Alligator mississippiensis: one gene and its partner. The protein of the gene in region 2 purifies or fractionates together with the protein of the main gene of each other region. This does not show direct contact. Links are inferred from orthologs where the notes say so. Each region holds a gene or a part of one and is shown on either strand. Other genes may lie near its edges.

The links. Proteins that work in one complex are often made in the same cells at the same time.
Region 1: the proteins of SOX2 (region 2) and KHDRBS1 purify together in Homo sapiens (affinity purification with mass spectrometry; 3 studies listed by BioGRID and IntAct, with this or other methods). This does not show direct contact. The link is inferred for Alligator mississippiensis from reciprocal best matches to the Homo sapiens genes SOX2 and KHDRBS1.

The regions. Positions count from the first base shown.
Region 1 is NC_081829.1:5,791,281-5,800,552, forward strand, and holds the start of KHDRBS1 (KH domain-containing, RNA-binding, signal transduction-associated protein 1), read right to left. Parts: upstream 3,692-9,272; 5' UTR 3,589-3,691; coding exon 3,258-3,588; intron 1-3,257. UniProt on the Homo sapiens protein: Recruited and tyrosine phosphorylated by several receptor systems, for example the T-cell, leptin and insulin receptors. Once phosphorylated, functions as an adapter protein in signal transduction cascades by binding to SH2 and SH3 domain-containing proteins.
Region 2 is NC_081830.1:81,637,803-81,647,046, reverse strand, and holds SOX2 (transcription factor SOX-2), read right to left. Parts: upstream 3,612-9,244; 5' UTR 3,118-3,611; coding exon 2,170-3,117; 3' UTR 1,139-2,169; downstream 1-1,138. UniProt on the Homo sapiens protein: Transcription factor that forms a trimeric complex with OCT4 on DNA and controls the expression of a number of genes involved in embryonic development such as YES1, FGF4, UTF1 and ZFP206. Binds to the proximal enhancer region of NANOG.

The DNA of each region.
Region 1 (9,272 bases), on a different chromosome or scaffold from region 2:
ACTCAAGCATTTTATTTCTGCAAAAGCTGCAGATATTTAACAAGACATTCTTAGCTCATTTGGCAAGTCTGTTCTTAAATAATATGGTCATACACATATCAATGGCCAAAGGATAACAATAAGAGTTAAAGATACCCAGAGGTGGTTCATACCCTTACAGAACAGGGCTAAACTTAAACCCTTTAAAGTCAGGAAATGAATTAAGATACATGCCACCCTAATAACATCTCTACTCTGCCTCCGGCTAAGCTGGCAAGAGCCTCTGGGGTGCTTTAGTAAAGATGGTGCAAAGCATTCATCTAATGATGGAAGTGGTAATTTCTATGTTCATGTTAAGACTGAACAATGTTCAAAGAAATGCTTTAGGAAAAGAACCAGATTATTAGGTGAAGCAGGAGAGTAACTGGGAGAAATGTTCTGACCTGTGTTATCTAGAAGGTCAGATGAGATGACCTCATGATCCCCTTCTGCTTTAAAAATCTCAGAATATATGAATAGCAATTAGCAGAAAGATTAAGAATGTGCCAGTGTGCTGTGTTCTACAGAGCTGAATCCCAGCATTTATCTGCACACACCCCAGCTGCGTTCACTGTGTGAAGTGGAGCAGTACAGCCTGGACCAAAGTTGTAAGGAACAGCACATGCCTACCTTGAGGGATCAAGCATGCCTCATTTCAGTCCTGAATGTGGCAGGCTATTTCTGCAGAAGTACACAAGGATGCCTTCTTGCCATGGGGACTGTCAGCTGCACAGAGACATATGTTTCTACAGTCTCCAGGGCTTAGTGATGGGCAACAGCCACATCTGCAATGGAGCCTAGGCTGCTCCCATTCATTACACCTGACCCAAACCCAAGATTTGTCTTAAAGAACACATGCTGAATTTGCATCATTAGTGCTCATGTGCTCACTACCATCTATGAGAGTAAAGCATGGACACGGTATTGATGTTTTACAGGAGAGTTAAGCTGTGTTTTTGTTTTTTTGGGGGGGGTGTACCTTAAGTCCTTTCCTTCCTGGTTCTCCAAGTTTTACATTTAGCCACTACTACCCACGTTCTGGAAGGGCAAGAGGCAGTACCAGGCAAACTTACCTCTACATTAACAAAGGTTTTGGGCCATCCCTTTCACTATGAACTTTTCATCACTCCCATGCACTTCATTCCAACTGACCTACTCCCCGTCTGGTCCTTGACAGTAGTTATTCCATCCAATTATGGGGTAACTACTGCCACAGAGCTGGAGGTGGCAGATAGGGAAAGCTGGCTTGAGACATCCTGTTTACTGCTCCTAAACCATGTTCCCTTTATTTCTCCTAATGTCAAAACCAGTCTCCTTCACACAGAACAACAGCCATCAGCATGGGACCCACCTACAGGCTGAGGAACTGGGAAGAGGATACAGAACAGTGCAGGGACTAGGACAGTATTAGTGGGGACTTTTTTAAGGGCATCAACAGAGACGTTACTCCTTAACACCTGCCCCTGCAAAGCTGTGACCCCTCCTCCTTTCCACCCCCCTCTTCAGTTAACTTTTTATTGCCTTCTATATTCCTCATTGTTTTAACGCTTTGCATTGTTTCCAGTTGCTCAGACATCCCTAAACTGCTATGACACTGCTCTAGTGATCCCTTCGTCATACTCACTGCTCTGATAACCCATAATCCTGGATCATAAAGTCAGAAAAAGGGCTCAAACACACACAGCTCTCATGATGAAGCTGTGCATCAGGATCCCCATGTTCAAGTGACCTAGAAAACAGCTCTCTCTTGTCCATTGATCAGGAAACCAACTACATTATAGCCCTTTCATCTGTCCTTTAAATCAATGCTGATTTCCTTGATCGTATTTTTAAAGTAAAGCTGGAGTTTGCACGTGCATTTTAGAGTACTGCAGAATATTGCTCTTGAGCCAACAGTTCTCATTTCAAGACAAAACTTCCAAGGGGAACTCCTGGGAAATGCAAGCAGAGGCAGGAACATGCGCAACATGCATTGTCTGAAAACCGCCAGCTGTAAGGCTCCAATTTAGAGTGCACAGATACAGCTCAAGTTCAGTAACCACAGCTATTTTAAGAGTCTGCTTGAAAAACCCTTTTGCCTCAGAAACCTGCTTTGGCCGCATTTACATTTTTCAGTCTCTTTAGCCCCAACCTGAAATTCCAAATTAAGGTTAACGACTTTTTCAACACCGATGTTATACAGCACCCTTTGATGAAGCAGGATATGCCGAGTGACCAAAAATCAGTGGGGGCAGGGGAGAAGGAGGCCACAAGAAGAATTATAAATTCATTTTGTAAAATTCATTTTTTAACGGCTGCATCAAGAATCCTTTGCTCATCTGACCTCGAAATTTGACTAACGCCATCCTAAACGCCACACGAGACAACACATTACAAGGCAATCCAAATAAGCAAACTGATTTTGCAGCACAGGAAAAATAAAAAAGGATTCTTAAATTATAAGCGATGATCAACTGCAGAGGCAAGCGCTCCGATATAATTCACAAGCCAGGTTGTTCGGACTAAGGAAACGTCCGATACAAAACCTCGGCGCGGCGCTCGGTACCCGGATCTTTGCCGAGCGGGCCAAGGACACCGACCTGCCTGGAAGAATAGGAGCTTCCTAACATCTCCTTCGCCGCACGGAGCAAGCAGAGCGCGGCTGCACATCAGGCGGCTGAAGACGGCGGGGAGCAAAAGCAGTTAAGTCGGGATCAAAACAAGGTTATAAAATTATTCGATACGGGAATCAGACGTACGCCGGCGATGCCGGATACGCTGCAGCAACTCCCCTGGAGTCGGCGGGCAGGCGATGTCACACACCCATCCCCGCCCCAGCGCCGGCATCATCGCCTGAAAGGACCCGGGGCGTCATCGGGCAGCTCGCAAGGAGCGCGCGCCGTTTTCATTAATAGATGTAAAGCAAAATCCTTTTCCGCCGGCTGCTTACCACCCCCCCCCAGGGGCTTGCCCTGGGGCAGCCGAGCGGGCGCGCAGCCGCAACCGCGCAGAACAAAGGCAGCCGTTCCCCGTCTCGCCGCGGGTCGGTTTTGGGAGGGGGCCGTGCCCCGAGAAACTTCTCCGCCTGCCTTTCACCCACCCACCCACTGTAGGGTTGGGGAGGGGGGTTCCTAATGCTGTTGGGTTTTCATACACGGCGGGGGGGCTGCCACCCCCTCCCCCCGCGCTGTTGCCATGGCAGCCGACCGACGGGACGGGGACGGGAGCAGGGCCGCCCCTCCCCCCCGCCGCGGCCGTACCTGCCGTGAGGAGCTGCATGGCGTGCGTGAAGGACGGGTCGAGGCTGTCCTTCTCGGCCATGAGCTCGGGCAGGTACTTGTTCTCGGGCTCCATCTTGACGGCGGCGGCGCCGGGCAGCAGCGGGGTGGGCGCGGCGGCGGGCGCCTGCGAGGCGCCGGCGGTGGCGGCGGGCGGCAGCAGCGGCGGCGGCTGCGAGCCCGGCGGGTGGGCGGCGGCGGCGCCGCGGGCCCCGCCGCGGGGCGGCCGGCGCGGGGGCTGCGCTGCCTGCGGCCGGGCGCCGGGGCCCGGGGGCCGGCCCAGGCGGGCGGCGGGGTCGTCGCGGCGCTGCATGGGCGCGGAGCGCGGCGGGCGGCGCGGGGCGGACAGCGTTGCCACACCGAGGGCCGCGGCGGCCGGGACCGGAAGTGAGGGGCCGGAAGCGCTCGCCGCTCGCTCCCGCTCCGCCGCCGTCGCCGCTCCGGACGCACTGCGCCTGCGCCGCCCTCCCGCCGCGCCTGCGCGGCGCCGGCCGCCTGCCGAGAACAAAGCGCCGGCTGAGACGCGCTGCGCAGGGCCTCCGAGTGCGCATGCGCAACGAGCGGGAGGAAACAAAAAAGAAAGGAGCGCCCCCTTCCATTGCGCCTGCGCAGAGGCGCAGCGGCCCTGCCTCGTTCCGCCGAGAACAAAGTACCGAGGGGGCCCAGTGCGCATGCGTAGAAGCCTAGCACGCGGGGAGGGGCTGCATTGCGCACGCGCAATCGCAGCCTTGGGGCGAACAAAGCGTCCGGGAGCGATCGCAACGCATGCGCGTTACAGTTCCTCCCTCTTCCCCGCCCCCCGTCCCTTGCAGGAGTTCGACGCACGTGTGCGTCTTCTGCCTGCCCAGGGCATGGCCTGGCTGCCGCTCTGCGCATGCGCGGGTCCTTCCCTGGCTTGGGCCTGGCCAGCATGGTGTGGCGGGAGAGATGGAGCCCTGAGTTGGGGCCGGGGGTAAGGGTTAGACCTTGGGATCTTTGGAGCAAAGCAGCCCAGCCCTGGCCTCATGCTCCCCTCCCTGAGCACTAGCAGGCTGGCCTTGCTTGCCTGGGAGCCCATCCGGACCCTGCCAGATAGCCTGCAGCACATTTGACACGCAAGCCTCCTATGGCTGATACTGCGACACGAAGCACCTGGGTGCACTGGTTCTAAATCCGCCCCCACCCCGTGTGTGCACTGCGCAGGAGCCCTGGGGGGCTGGGTTAGCATGGGGATCCCTTGGTGCAAATCTTGATGACACCCAGAAAGCCCCCCAAAGGGTGCTCTGCAGGACCGACCTCCACTTGGAAGGCCCCTGCGTGGTCATTAGCGGACACGTTCCTTCAACCACCGGCGAGGGCATGGCCCTCGGCTGCCAAGCCAACATCAGCAGTAATTATCCTATAAGTCGGCAGTTCCCAAGCTCTGACAGCGCACCATCATTTTAAAACAACGCAACCTTAAGTGCCACCAGCAAATTTTTGTCATATAAAGTAATGATAATACATCTGTTAATACTAGTCGCGATGCATATGGGGTGCGCCCCCTGACAGGCCGCGCTCGCATGTGTCCCCCTGAATCAGGCGGCACCAGTTGCCCATGGGTAACACGTGCCGCTGACAGGTTCTCTGCGTACCGGTGGTGGTACCCGTACCAGATTGGGAACCGCTGCTGTAAGTGACAGATTCATCTCATTGTCCCAGAGTGTATACAAATAGTATACGCATAGATCCGTTTATGTCCTAAAGCAGGGAGGCTGAGTCTTCTGCATTTTTATTTCCATCAGTCTGTGATGGCAGCATATAGAAAGCTCATTTGAGGAAGGCAAGTTTCTTGATCTCCGAATGTCTTAATTGACAACCCCCCCCCGACCCAGAGCCTGCACTTGTCTTTTGGGTTCAGACTCTGCCTGTATGCAATATGACTTCTGTTGATAGCAGGACTGACTTCATGGTAGGAGTCTTGTTGGTGTAGCTGGGACTGAACTATATTTCAACCAGGTCTCTAACGCATGGAGTAGATGAGTGGTGCCCAATCTTTTCACCCCACAGACTAGATGGGCAGTGCCATATCTGGCCGCAGGCTGGATCAGGCTGGTGGGCTCGACCCAGCCAGAACGTGGGGTTGCTGGAGCAACTCCATTTAGCCCAGGGGACTGTGCAGCCTGACCCAGATCCATCCACAGGGGGTTGGGGAGCAGCTTGGTCCCCATCTGGATGTGTGTGGGGGCGCTGAATGGAGCTGTCCCGATCAGGATGTGGTGAGGGGTGGGTGGAGAGCAACTTGGTTCTGATCCAGACACATCGGGGGTGGAAGTGGAGAGCAGCCCAGCCATGATCCGGATGCCGATGGGGTGGAGTGGCCTCTGCCTGGACGCATGGAGGGGGCAGGGAGCCGCCCAGCCAGATCCGGATAGACAAGGGGCAGGCCTGTCCCTGATCCTGCTGTGCGGCAATGGCCTGGGCAAGGCTGGATCCCACTGCATGGAGCTTCCTCGCTCCCCAGCTGCCAGTTTTTTCCACCCTGCAGAGATCCCCGTGGGCAGGACGTCACAGCTCTATGGGCTGGATTTAGCTCGCAGGCTAGGGGTTGAGCACCCCTGGAATAGAAGAAGCTGGGGAAAGAGCCCATGAAGGAGAAACTTTGATGCCAGCAGGTGACAGATCCCAGATCTCTGTACTTCTCTCACTTGGCTACAATCAGCAATGTGCGCATGGATCTTTACTGAATGTGCTGTTTGGACAAACCCTTCACTCAGTAGTTAATGTTTGTACAATACAAGTAAATGTACAGTCCCATCCATGCACCTAAGCTACTATTACTCACACAACCTCAATGCAGCAGGGCAGCTTCTTATAGCTAGGAGCATGGCATAGTTTTGGATGCCTAGCACTGCCTGGCTTTCTTTTGCTGCCCTTTGCTCTTTTCTGCTCTCACTCTCCTGGATTCAGTTGCTCTCTCCCTTGTCTTCAGTCTCGCATCCATGAGATTGTTTTTCTCACGCACTTCACCCAGCTCCCTATTAATTAACCCTTTCTCCCTGCCTGCCTTTCCCTGATTGCATTTCTCACCTGTCTCGTGCTGCCTAGCCACCCCAGCTGCCCAGTCACACCTGCACATATGGGGTGTACACATGGGGCACAACGCAGCAGAGGTCTGTCACAGGTGATCTTGAACTGGCATAAGGTTCCCAAAGACCTAGAACTAGCTTGCACCACACGGGCTGTTTAGGACCCACCGTGCCATCCCAGCTCCTGCTAAAGGGTCATCGTTGCCCCAGGATTTCTACCTTCTATTTCAATACCACAAGAGAGGATTAGAAACTGTCCCAGTGCATCCAGCCTCCCCTCTCCACGGTCAGCATTGCTGGTTTTCCTTTCTGCACAGCTTCTGTGCCTGCTTCTATTACATCTTCTGAAACCTCTGGGGCTCAGACAGCAGAAGCCTGAGCCTTGCTGCCTGCACTCAGTTGTCTTCATTTCTCTGAGTCGCTCTCCATCTTTCTGTGCTCCTCCCTCTGGGCCAGATTCTCCACCTAGCTACATGCTAGAAAGTGGACTGAAACTGTCCCAAGTTAGGCAGTGGAGAACTTACGTGCAGAGCAATTCCTTACCTGCCCTTATTTCTTGTATTGGGGAAGGCAACACATCAAGAGCTTCCTGAGGACCTATTACTAACTCACACCCTGACTGGGATGATCACAACCTGCTCCTGCACACATCCTCCCCACTCGCTGCAGCTACGAGGTGCCTGAACTCACCTGTGAATCAGCCCCTCTTCCCTCTGTCAAATCTTGTCTTTACAAAGCACCCTGGCCAGGAGCTCTTCCCAATCCTTGAGGTGCAAACATCTCCAGGTTTGATACCGCTCCTGGTCCCCAGCATCTGAGCAAAACTGCAGAAGCAAAACAAGACCTAAGTTAGACGTTTTCTCTGGGCCTGGTCCTAGTGGAGTATTTTTCAAAGACATCCTGTCAGACCCAGTTTTTTTGGGAACTGCTCCTGGAGATCTGCAGCAGAGATACAATGAGCTCAGCTCATCTGCTGGGGCTGAATGGGGTTCTGAGGTCACGAGTGCATCTCTTCCCCAACCCACCACCTCTCATACAAATAGCCTGGTTTCCTATTAGCTTTCCCACCCTGCTTGTTTCCTTCTCCTTTTCTCTCTCCCTTCCTATTGCTTTTGTTATATTTGTCCAAGACAGTCTGGAAAAAAAAATGACTCCAACCACAAATGTGGAAGGAGTGCTGCCAAGCTGGCAAAATTATAAAATAAAGCTAGGCCTTCATTGCCATGGACTGATGCAACAAAAAGTAACTTTAGATCAGGGATGCTCGACCAGGGTGTTGCGGCACCCTGGGTTGCCCTGAAATCCTTTCAGCGGTGCCTCAGGGTGCCACACACTGTTAGCACAGTTATGGGTGCAAACATGATTCACAGGATAAATCCTGAGATTTCAAATAGGCATCCATAGTGTTAAAAACATTGTGTCCCTGTTGTGGTATTTCCGAGTTCTTTGCAACAGGAGAGCTGGAGTCAAACAAATGAGTGAAAATTAAGAACTGGCACTTTCCAAGGGGGGCCTCCAGTCTTAACGAGGGGTGCCTGGGGTCTAAAAAGGTTGAGAACCGCTGCTTTAGATTCTCATGGACGCAGTCATATCCACATATCTCATGGCTTTCACGGCCCTTTCTTCATTTTCTTGGTCCTACTGCCCCTCTGGCTGGCACTGTCCGTCTCTTCCATGAGATCGGTATTTTGTGTGCTTGAACTGCAGGAGAGGAGCAATGGGTGTCCCTGCAGGTACATCCCCAAACCTGGAGGCACGTTCCACGGACAGGCCGTGCAGCTGGCAGTGGGGCAGGGCCCAGTGTTGGGTACACCGCTGGGTAGCAGTACTGCAGCTGGCACCATTGTGCTGAGGCTGCGTCAATGTGGCTATCGCAGCTGACAGCTGGTATTAGTCACTTGCTTTTAACCCACTCAGGAATGACAAAAAAAATAGTTTCAGTTTTAAGGGAAGGAAGGTCACTTGTCAAAGACTTTGCTGGCACTGGGAAATCTGGGCTGTCTGCCACAGACTCCCCGGGCGAACCAAGCTGCTTCGTTGTCTCAGCTTCCCAGCTAGAAAATGGGGATAATACTCCCACCTTTCTGTCTGCCTTTATCTGTCAGATCTGTTGAGATTGCAAGCTCTGTGAAGCTACAAGTCTCTTATGCATTCGTACAGCAGAAAAAAGAGCCCTGACCTTGGATGGAGCATCTGGGTGTTACTGAAATGCAAAGCCATAATAATTAAGAATCGGTTGTTTCCATGACTGTGGCGTTCAGCCAGGCAGTGCTAGGCAACCTCCAGGGCAAAGCTGCCACGTGGAGAGGCTTTTCCTCTGGGTGGAAACGGGAAGCAGGTTGGTTTCAGGATTGAGCGCGTGGCCTTCCCCGCTCCCTCTGCCCCTTCCTACGTGGGTCGAATAAGGAAGCAGAAAGCAGCTGGAGTGGATGGGCCGGCTTCTGCATTATTGCAATTATCCCCTGAGATTGGGATGATGGGATCGTTAATCAGCCGGCTTTCCAAGAAGCTGCCTTTGTTTGGTTTCAGAGCTAGACACTGTGCGCTGCGGAGCGCAGAGCTGCCAGGCTGCGCCCAGCGAAGAGGCCCGGAGGGGGGTTTTCATGCTGGCTTGGAGAACAGAAGAGCTCTTGTTCCAGCCTTCTCCTTGGCAGTTTTAATGTAGCCGCCCACTTCGCTGGGTCAAGCCAGGAGTGGTGGGGATTCTGGGAGGGGACGGGACGGGTTGTCACTAATGGGGTCCCACCTCTTTCTCCTTCACATGCCCCCTTTTTTAAATCTCCATAGTCCAAAAAAATAAATAAAAAAAGGAAGCGACGGCTTGTGACATCAGATCAAAGGCATTCATTATCATAGCCTGATAAATACCCACCTCTGGGGCTCTAAGGTTTTGAGTCTCAGAGGCCTTGGCATGAGCTGATGCCTTCTGCGCTGTTGCTAAATACGGGGC
Region 2 (9,244 bases):
GTGCAAGCCGTGCCCGGCGCGCAGAAGTGCCATCCAGGCACAAGGTCGTTCCTGCAGGATGGTAATTTCCCGGCTCTACATTCAGCTGGGGCAGGAGTGTGGAGATGCAAGCCACCCTCCCCTCGTCCCCTCCCCTCCCCTCGGGGTTAGGAGCCATCCTTAACCCTCTGCGAGTCGAGCTGCCTCCGGCTTGGTGCCCCCTGCCCCGTGCACCAGGCCGGGCCTGCAGCCCCCGGCCGCAGGCTGCTGGGGCCCGGCTGGTTGCACGGAGCAGGCAGCTGCAAGCTGCGGTCGGAAGTGTACAAAGGAAAAGGCTACCTCGGAGAGATGGCTGCGCTCCTCCGCTATGGGGCTGGCGCCACCGCTTCTCTTTCGGCCTGGAGCCGCTGCCGGGACTGTCGGGGTTTGGGCTACACCGCGCTGGCCTTGTAAGCCAGAAACAGCTGGGGAGTGTCGGGCAGCGGCGATTTTTACCTGGCCTCCCCCCTACCTCACACGCGCCTCTTCTGCGCTGGAAAAAAAACAAAAATAAAGGGGGAGAAAGTTGAGGAAGGCACAGACAAAGGAAGCAGAGCTCCGCACGCCCCGCCGGCGCCTCCGCCCCGCCAGCACCCTCCGCGCGGCCGGCGGGGATGCTCTGGCCCCGGCCCGGCCCCGCCCGGCCCGGCGCGACGGCACAACGCTCCGCTGCGGCCCGGCCCGCGTGCCCCCAGCCAGCCCGCGAGCCACGCCGCTTACTTGTTGCCTTCGCACTCGCTCCGCTCCTGCCACGCGCGCCCGTTTCACTTGACACCAAGTGCAAGGTCCCAGCTCAGCCCAGCGGCAACAAGTGGTCTCAGCACCAAGTCCACACACCTCCCTTCGCCTCGGCACAAGTCTCCCGGGCTGGCACTTACACCGCGCGCTTCTCAGGCCCGCAAGGAGGACTGCAGTTTCCACCTACTCCGAGCCCTGCTCTTCTCCAGCGCCAGAGCCGAGCTTTTCGCGCGGTACTTACTTACACCGTGTTGTCATGAACTGACCACACTCAGCTGACTACGGTCAGACCTTGAACTGCATTATTATTATTATTTTTTCTTTAAAAAAAAAATCAAAACAGCTCGTATTACAAAAAAGAAATGCAAGACTCAGGCGTAACTTCAGTGTCCATATGTCAAAAATTTATTTATCTCAAACTGTGCATAATGGAGTAAAAACTTAAGTTGAATATGTACCTGTTATAAGGATGGTATTAGTTCAAATATATACATGGACTGTCGGCAGACTGATTTCAAATAATACAGAGCCGAATCTTTAAAATACAACTACGGAAAATGAGAGGAAAAAAAAAAGGAACTTAAAATAGCATCACAATAAATTTACAGAAATATTACAAACCATAAGAAAATATTTCAAACACAGTCATTTCAGCTTGTGTGTGTGGTTTCTCTGTCTCTCTCTCTCTCTCTGAACAGGATGAATTCTGGAAACAAAAAGGCTATTATAAATTAACAAACGGTATGTGAACCTGCAGTGGCAATTTTTGCTTTTTAACAAGTAAAAAAAATTTAGTACAATCTAAACGTTTGCCCTTTTATAGAAAACCAATTCACTGGTTTGCAAGTACTTATCCTACATTTTTTTGCCTTTTGTACAATTTCTAAAACAATTAAAATGTCCAAATTCTGTAAAATAAATCTCCACTCCTTTGGCAGCTGCTATAATTCAGCTGCGCGGCTCCAAGTAAACTCTACTTTGTTTTTAAAAAATAATTGGCAAATTCTCAAGTGTTTCCCCCCCATATTAACAATGGACATTCTGATTGCCATGTTTATTTTGATAAATACTGTACAAAAGTCGCCTGCAAATATTAAAACATTTTTTTTCCTCGTCGCTTTTTGAGTCTAGCTCTAAATATTATTGGTAAAGACTTTTGCAAACTTTCTGCAAAGTTCCTACCGTTTCACTAGAACTTTTAAAAAGTTTTGTGTAGTTTCTTCCCCTTCAGATCTATACAAGGTCCTCGGCGGGGTTAGTTTTTGTTTGTTTGTTTTGTTTTGTTTTTTCTGCCCTCCCCAGTTTTCTCTGTACAAAAATAGTCCAAAAAAAAAAAAAAGTCCAGAATCTCTAATAAAAGTTTTTTGTTTGTTGGTTGGAGTTCAGCTCTCCTTCCCCCCCTGCCCCTTTGTCTTACATATGTGATAGAGGAAGTGTGCCATTAATGGCTGTGCCAGGAACAGGTGCACTCTGGTAGTGTTGGGACATATGAAGTCTGCTTGGGGCAGCTGGTTCTGGTACTTCAGCACCTGGTAGATACATGCTGATCATGTCCCGAAGGTCCCCAGCTTGGCAAGGAGCCCTGGAATGGGAAGAGGAAGTAACTACTGGGGGGCTGGAGCTGGATTCCGTCTTGACCACAGAGCCCATGGAGCCCAGGGCCATGCCCGGGGTCCCTTGCTGGGAGTAAGACATGCTGTAGGTGGGCGATCCGTTCATATAGGTCTGCGAGCTGGTCATGGAGTTGTACTGCAGGGCGCTCACGTCGTAGCGGTGCATGGGCTGCATCTGAGCCGCGTTGTGCGCGTTCAAGCCCGGGTGCTGGGGGTAGCCGAGCTGATCTTGCATCATCCCATACCCTCCGTTGGTCCAGCCGTTCATGTGAGCATAACTGTCCATCCTCTGGTTCACCCCAGCTCCCAAGGTGGCCCCAACCCCGACCCCGGTGGTCATGCTATTGGTGCCCGGCGCCAGCAAGCCCCCTGGCAACGTGTACTTATCCTTCTTCATCAGGGTCTTGGTTTTCCGCCGGGGTCGGTATTTATAATCCGGGTGCTCCTTCATGTGCAGAGCGCGGAGCCGCTTGGCTTCATCGATGAAGGGTCTCTTCTCCGCCTCGGATAAAAGTTTCCACTCGGCCCCGAGCCGCTTGCTGATCTCCGAGTTGTGCATCTTGGGGTTCTCCTGGGCCATTTTCCGCCGCTGGCCCCGGGACCAGACCATGAAGGCGTTCATGGGGCGCTTGACCCGGTCCGGGCTGTTCTTCTGGTTGGGAGCGGCCGAGTTGGAGTTGCCCGTGCCGCCTCCCGAGGCGGGCTGGGGGGCGGGCGGCTTGAGCTCGGTTTCCATCATGTTGTACATTCAAGCGGCTTCTGCCTGGCCCGAGGCTTCCGCGGAGAAGCGAGAAGCAAACGTCCCGAGCTGGACTTTCTCTCCGGCTAGGGAGGGGTGTGCAAGGGGGGGAGGGGGCTCCCCGAAACACCCCGCGCTTGGATCAGGATCAGGGGCTTCCTCTTGCCTGTCGGAGGGATCAGGCCGGTGGCGGTGGCGGCTGCTGCAGCCTGGCTTTGCAAAAAAAAAAAAAAAAAAAACCACAACCAAAAAACCAAAACAAAACAAAAAAAAAACCAAACCAAAAACCCAAACTTCTTCTTTCTCCTTTTTGCCCCTTTTCTCTGCCTCTCTCCAGCGCTTTCCCTCCACCTCGGTCTTAAAGAGCCAGCAAACTCCTTTGCCCCCTTTTGCAAACACGCGCACTCCCTCTCCCTCTCCCTCTCTTTCTCTCTCTCTGCCTTGACAACTCCTGATACTTTTTTGAACAAGTTAATAGACAACCATCCATGTGATGGGGGCTTGTCAGGGAATAAATGCGCTGGGCCCGGCCAATCAGCGCGCGCCGGCTCCTCCACTGAGGACGAGCCTCTACCCCTGGTTTTGCATGAAACGGGGCGGGGGCTGCGGGCGCCGCCGGGCCGGCCCGGGGGGGGGGACGGGGGGCGGGCCCTCGGCCGAGCCAGGCAGCCACTAGCGAGGCTTTGTCGCGCCTCTTCCAGCAACAGGTCACACACGCCTTTTGGAGGAAGTGGGTAAACAGCATTGTTGCTACATTAAAAACACGCGCGCGCGCACACACACACACACACACACAACTTGGTGCGGGGGAAAGCCGCGGGGGAGCGCGAGGCCTCCGCAAAGTTGCGTGTGTTGGGTGCGGGCCTCCCCTGCCTGCCATTGCCTCTCCCCCCACCGCCGGCTCTCGCGGAGGGGCCTGTGCAGGGCAGGTGCAGGGGAGCAGGCCCTCCCCTCCCCCTAGCCCGGCTCCATTCACAGCCTGGAAGCCCCCTGCGCCTCCCAGAAAGAAGGGGCCGAGCTCCCCCGCCATGCCCCGGGCGTCTGCTTGCAGCCCCGGGGGAGGGGGCCGCCCCCCAGCTGCGGCGACCCCCGCCTGGCCCCAGCCCCGCGCCCCGCGTGCTGCTCCCCGGGCCGCGGGCCGCGCGGCAGGGGCAGGACGCGGGAGTGGGAAGCCGCCCTGGGCTCGGGAGGGTAATTTTAGACTCGGCCCCATTGTCCCGACGTAAAGACTTCAATAGGTGGGAGCTCAATGGCGGGGAGAGATGGCAGCACGTCCGTTACAAATAGGTAGTTTTGTTTCTCTTGTTGTCGCTACACGGGGCCAAACAAAGGCCCGGCTAAGTTTACTTCCACTCTCTTGTTGGGATCTTTGTTGCTAAAATGCACTTGACTACAAAGAAAGGGGGGGGGGGAAGCCTCACGCCATTTCTGTTTTATGAAGTGCTCCCACGGGCAGGGGCTCCCTTCGCCCCCCTCTTCCTGGGGCTGAAAACGTGGCGAGCTGTCTGGACGGGCACGCCGCACCGGGGCGCGCTCCGCCCTGCGCCCCGGGCTCGGAGCCTGCCCCGCGGCCTCCCCAGGAAAGTTTGGCGCGACTGAAAACCTCCCGAGACTGACTGTATTTGGTGCTGTGCGCGGACTGTACAATCTGCTGGATTTCAGGTCTGCATCAGATTAAATCCAGTGCCGAAAGAACGATTTAGAAACACACACACACACACACACACACACACACACACACACAAAGGGAGGTGAGAAATAACTTGGAGGCTGCCCTGGACTTTCCGAGCGCGGGGGCTTCAGGGATGGGGCTGGTGCGCCCCCTACTGGCAGACTCGGCTCCCAGGCAAGGCTCGCTCTCACTTTTCAAATGAAATGTTTAAAAATAATAAAAGGAAAGGGGGGGGTGGAAATAATTATATGTAATCTAAGTAATAAAAAAAAAACAAACCCCAACAGCACGGATGCATCTTTTTATGGATTATGTAAATAAATCCTATCAGATTTAATGCGTTTAATTCGAAAATGTACATATAGCCCGTAGATAAGTGATAGGTTAAAGCAGAGGAAAATAGGTACAAATTATGAGATTCAAGCTAGAAACGAATTCTGATTGTCCAGACGCTACTGAGGGCACGCAACTATTTACTTTGGTATTGTTTACGCCTGGGGCTGCACTTGATAACATTATTCCAAAAAACACACACACAAAAAACCTTATGGATAATTAAATTGGGGGAGGGGGGAAGGGGGTGGTGGTGTTTGTTTATCGTAATAAATTGATAACTGATGGTTGGTGTTAGACAAGCAAGTCTTATTTTTGTTCTCTACTGTAGTTACAGAGGCAGAATCAGTTGGGAGTGTGTGTGTGTCTGTGTGTGAGCCTTGGCTGCAGCAAAGGCAAGGCAAGATTTTACACGTAACTAGATGCATATATTTGTGCCTGAACTCTCTAATAACACATTGAAGAGGTTAAAGTGGCTGGCTTGGCTCTTTGTTAATTGCATTTATCATATAAATAAGCGATGGAAATACCTAACAATTGTGTTATCATGAGTATTTACAGCTTTATTTTAATTAACCGTGTTTTACTTATCAATGCAATAAACTGCCTCTGGCATATATACATAATAATGCGCTATAGAAAAATAAGATAAAGGTGATAGCTCTTTCACAATTTGTTCTTCTCCGTTTCCTACGTGCACGTTTCTGGCTCCATAAACCGGGTTCCTGGCTACTCGTTTAAATAATGTAAAAAAACAATGAGAGCCTTCCTCCAGCTTCAGTATTAGTAACAATAACGACAACGGTCTATTGAAGAAGATCGAGATTTTTAAAAGGGAGGCCTAGAGAGGCATGGTTTAATCTGAATGGATTTTAAAAATCGTTGCCTTTGGTATAATTTATGGAAATGAAAAGTGCTCACATTAAACAAATAGTCCGCAAACGCGCTCAGCGCGGGAGTCCGAGGCGGGTTCGCGCTTATTCGGGGGTGATGAGCTTATTAACGAGAAAATGGATGTTAACGACTTGGATTTTTATTTATTTCTTGTGCGGACCCGGGCTGCACCCACCAATTTCTTCTAAAAGCCCTGAAGATGCAGCCTATCGGGGACTATAACATCAGGGATATCTACATAATTTTTTCGCACTGACCTTGCTAGTAACAAATCTAAAGCAAACTATTAAGCAGCCTGGTGGAGATGGAAGATTGCAGCCTCGATTTTTTTTTTTTTTTGTCCTTAGCTGCAAATAGAGGTTTAACTTGCAGTAATTAGGTGAGAACTAGCCAAGCATCTTACTATTATGATGCTTGTTAAAAACGCTTCTTTTCTGCATCTGCATTTGAGTGTGTTCCCCTCCACTCTTAATCTTCTTATGGAAATGAAGGCGAGCGGCGGGGAACCTGCAGAGACTTACAGAATGTCCTTGTTAACTGGAATTTCTCAGCATTGCTAATTAGCAGAGTTTGACGACCACCAGTATTGGGGAAAGCTCTGTTTAGCCACTCACAAACCCTTCCGAGGAAGAGCAGACTAATTTTATTTTGTAATTAAAATCTGAAAAGGGCCCTATTTGACAGTTAGGGCTATGAGAGTTTTATCTCCCTGTGAAATAATTACTGCCTTGATAACTCAATTTTCTGCAAAACGTCAACTGTGAGCTCCAAAAGTTTTAATTTCATTACGTTAAAAAAAAATCTGAAGACGAAAATGTACAGAGAGATTTCCCCCCCCCCCCCCCTTTCTAATTCTGGAACCAGCTAACTGCACAGAGGCTAAAGTTAGCCCAGGGAAGTTTTGCCAGACTCACTGTAACCCACTCCCTGGTGAACCCCTAATGGCACAAGGCGCGTTATTGCAGTACAAGCAGCAAACCCTGGAGGAAAATTGCTCCCCCCGCCCCAATATAGTTCCCGAGGAAGATCTCCCCCAAGAAACACCCCAAGGAAGGTTTTAGGCCAACACTGGTGTTGTTCTGGTAAAAGGCTTTGTTCATTTACAACCATTAATAGGTATGAAGGAAGGGGGGTCATGTCCTGGGGGTATTACACAGATGAGCTGAGCTCTGGCGTTTGGGGGGGGGGGGTTGGTGGTTTTTGGGTTTTTTTTTTTTAAGTACTGCCAGGTCCTAAAAGTCTTTCCAGGCTGATATTTCACGAGTCAAATCAGTAACCAGTCCATTCCTTCTTTTTGGCAGGCAGTTCGCCCCGACCCCCACTAACAAGGCTTTAAAATGTGAGATTCAGCTTTCTGCATTTTTTCAGAGAGGGGGAAACTCCCCCAGCCTTGGGGAGAGATCACCGAGCAATGACAATCAACCCAAATAACGTGCCAGGTTTGGCTGAGACGGGATCTATAATCCCGAGAGAGGCACCAGCCCCCTTCTCCTCGAAGCGTGCTAATCTCTGCACGCTTGTCTCTTGGGTGGGGGGGAGGCAATCTGGGGGGCGAGCCGGGCGCCGGGACCACGCGTAGCCCACGCTGCTTCCATATATATGGAGAGAGTGTGTGTGTAGATCTATCTATCTATCTATCTATCTATCTATGCTAGATAGATAGCTAGATAGATATGTGTGTAGATATCTATGTATCGATAGATAGATAGATAGATAGATAGATAGATAGATAGATAGATAGATAGATAGATAGATAGATAGATAGATGGGGGGGAGTGTAATATGTGTATGTACCTATCTCATTTCTTTCCTTGGTAATTTAAAACGGTTTAACCGGGGCTTTGCTCCAGTCTGTCCTGCCGGCAGCCAGCAGTGGCATCCCGCATCCAGGCGGGCCCGGGCAGCCCCGCTTCAACCACCCCCGTCTCTCTCCGGATCCCCCTTGCAGGGCTCTGCGGCCCCTCGACGGCGCGGAGCGCACAGCAGGCTCCGCTCCAGCCCACTTCTCTCTAACGGAGCAGGACACACGGAGCGCACGTGCGGCCGAGGGAGGGGTGGGGGTGTGGGGGGCAGTGGCGATGGGCGACCCCCGGTGCCAGGCCGCGCGGGGGCCGGGCGACGCCTCCACCCGCGCGCCCCCCACTCCCACGGCCCCTGCCGCCGGGCTGGCCCTGCAGACGGGAGGGGGCCGCGGAGCTCGGCGAGCCTGGGGCAGCAGGGACCTCGCGTTCAACGCGGAGCACAAGACCCTGTCACCGAGCATGGGTCCCCCCCCCCAGTATATCTCATGCCTCGGCTTTCCGCTCCCGCCGGGCCCTGGGAAAACAACCCAAAGCAGCTCCGCAGCCTCGAGAAAATTCAACCTTTTAGCGCAACCTCAGTGGCACTAAAACACCTGTCAGAGTCAGGAGCCGTCCGACACCTCCCGGCCAGCCCCCTGCTCTCTACCCGAGTTATACCCCCGGCCCTCGCCCCTCCGAGGGCCCTTGCAACCGGGGCTGGGGCTTCCCCGAGCGAAGCGATCCTCCGCCTGGGTCCAGGGGGGCGCAGGCCTCGAGCCCCTTCCGCAGAGTCCCTTTTGGCAGTCTATTTAAAGGGATCTTTCCTTCCGAGTTTTATAAGAACAAATGAGTTTTCTTTTCCCATTGTAGCTGAATGAACTCATGTATATTAAACACAAAACCCTCTCCTGAAGGACGTTAACTGCTTCACTTAAACCCACAAAAGCACGAAAATTCAGAATTAAAGGTTTCCAATTCCCTGAATAGGTCCCCTCCGCTCTCCCGCTATTGCAGGGCCCGGAGGATGGGCAAATGCTCTGGGGGAAAGAAAAAAAAAAGTCTTAACTGCTACCCGCGGACGCCTTAAATAGAAGGCTATTGTCTTTCCCTTAAATTTGGGCTTAAACTTTATTTTAGTTTCCCCTTTTCATTTTACTGTGTTAAGGGAATGCTATTAAAAAAAAAAAAAAAGAAAAGAAAGAAAGAAATTTCCCTCCTTGGGATCATGCGGTGTCATCCAAATCAACCCGGGGCCTCTCCGGACCCGATGCAGGTTTGATGGAATTATCGTGAATTATTCTGGCTCTTCCATTGAAATCATAATGACTCCCAGAGAAGCTCTTAGGATTTCAATGGCAATGCATGAGCACAGCCTGAGGTACTTCAAGGTTGCCTGTCTGCTCAGTGCACCTCAACGCACTCTGGGAGCCCGAGGCATGGTTTGAAAAGTACATTT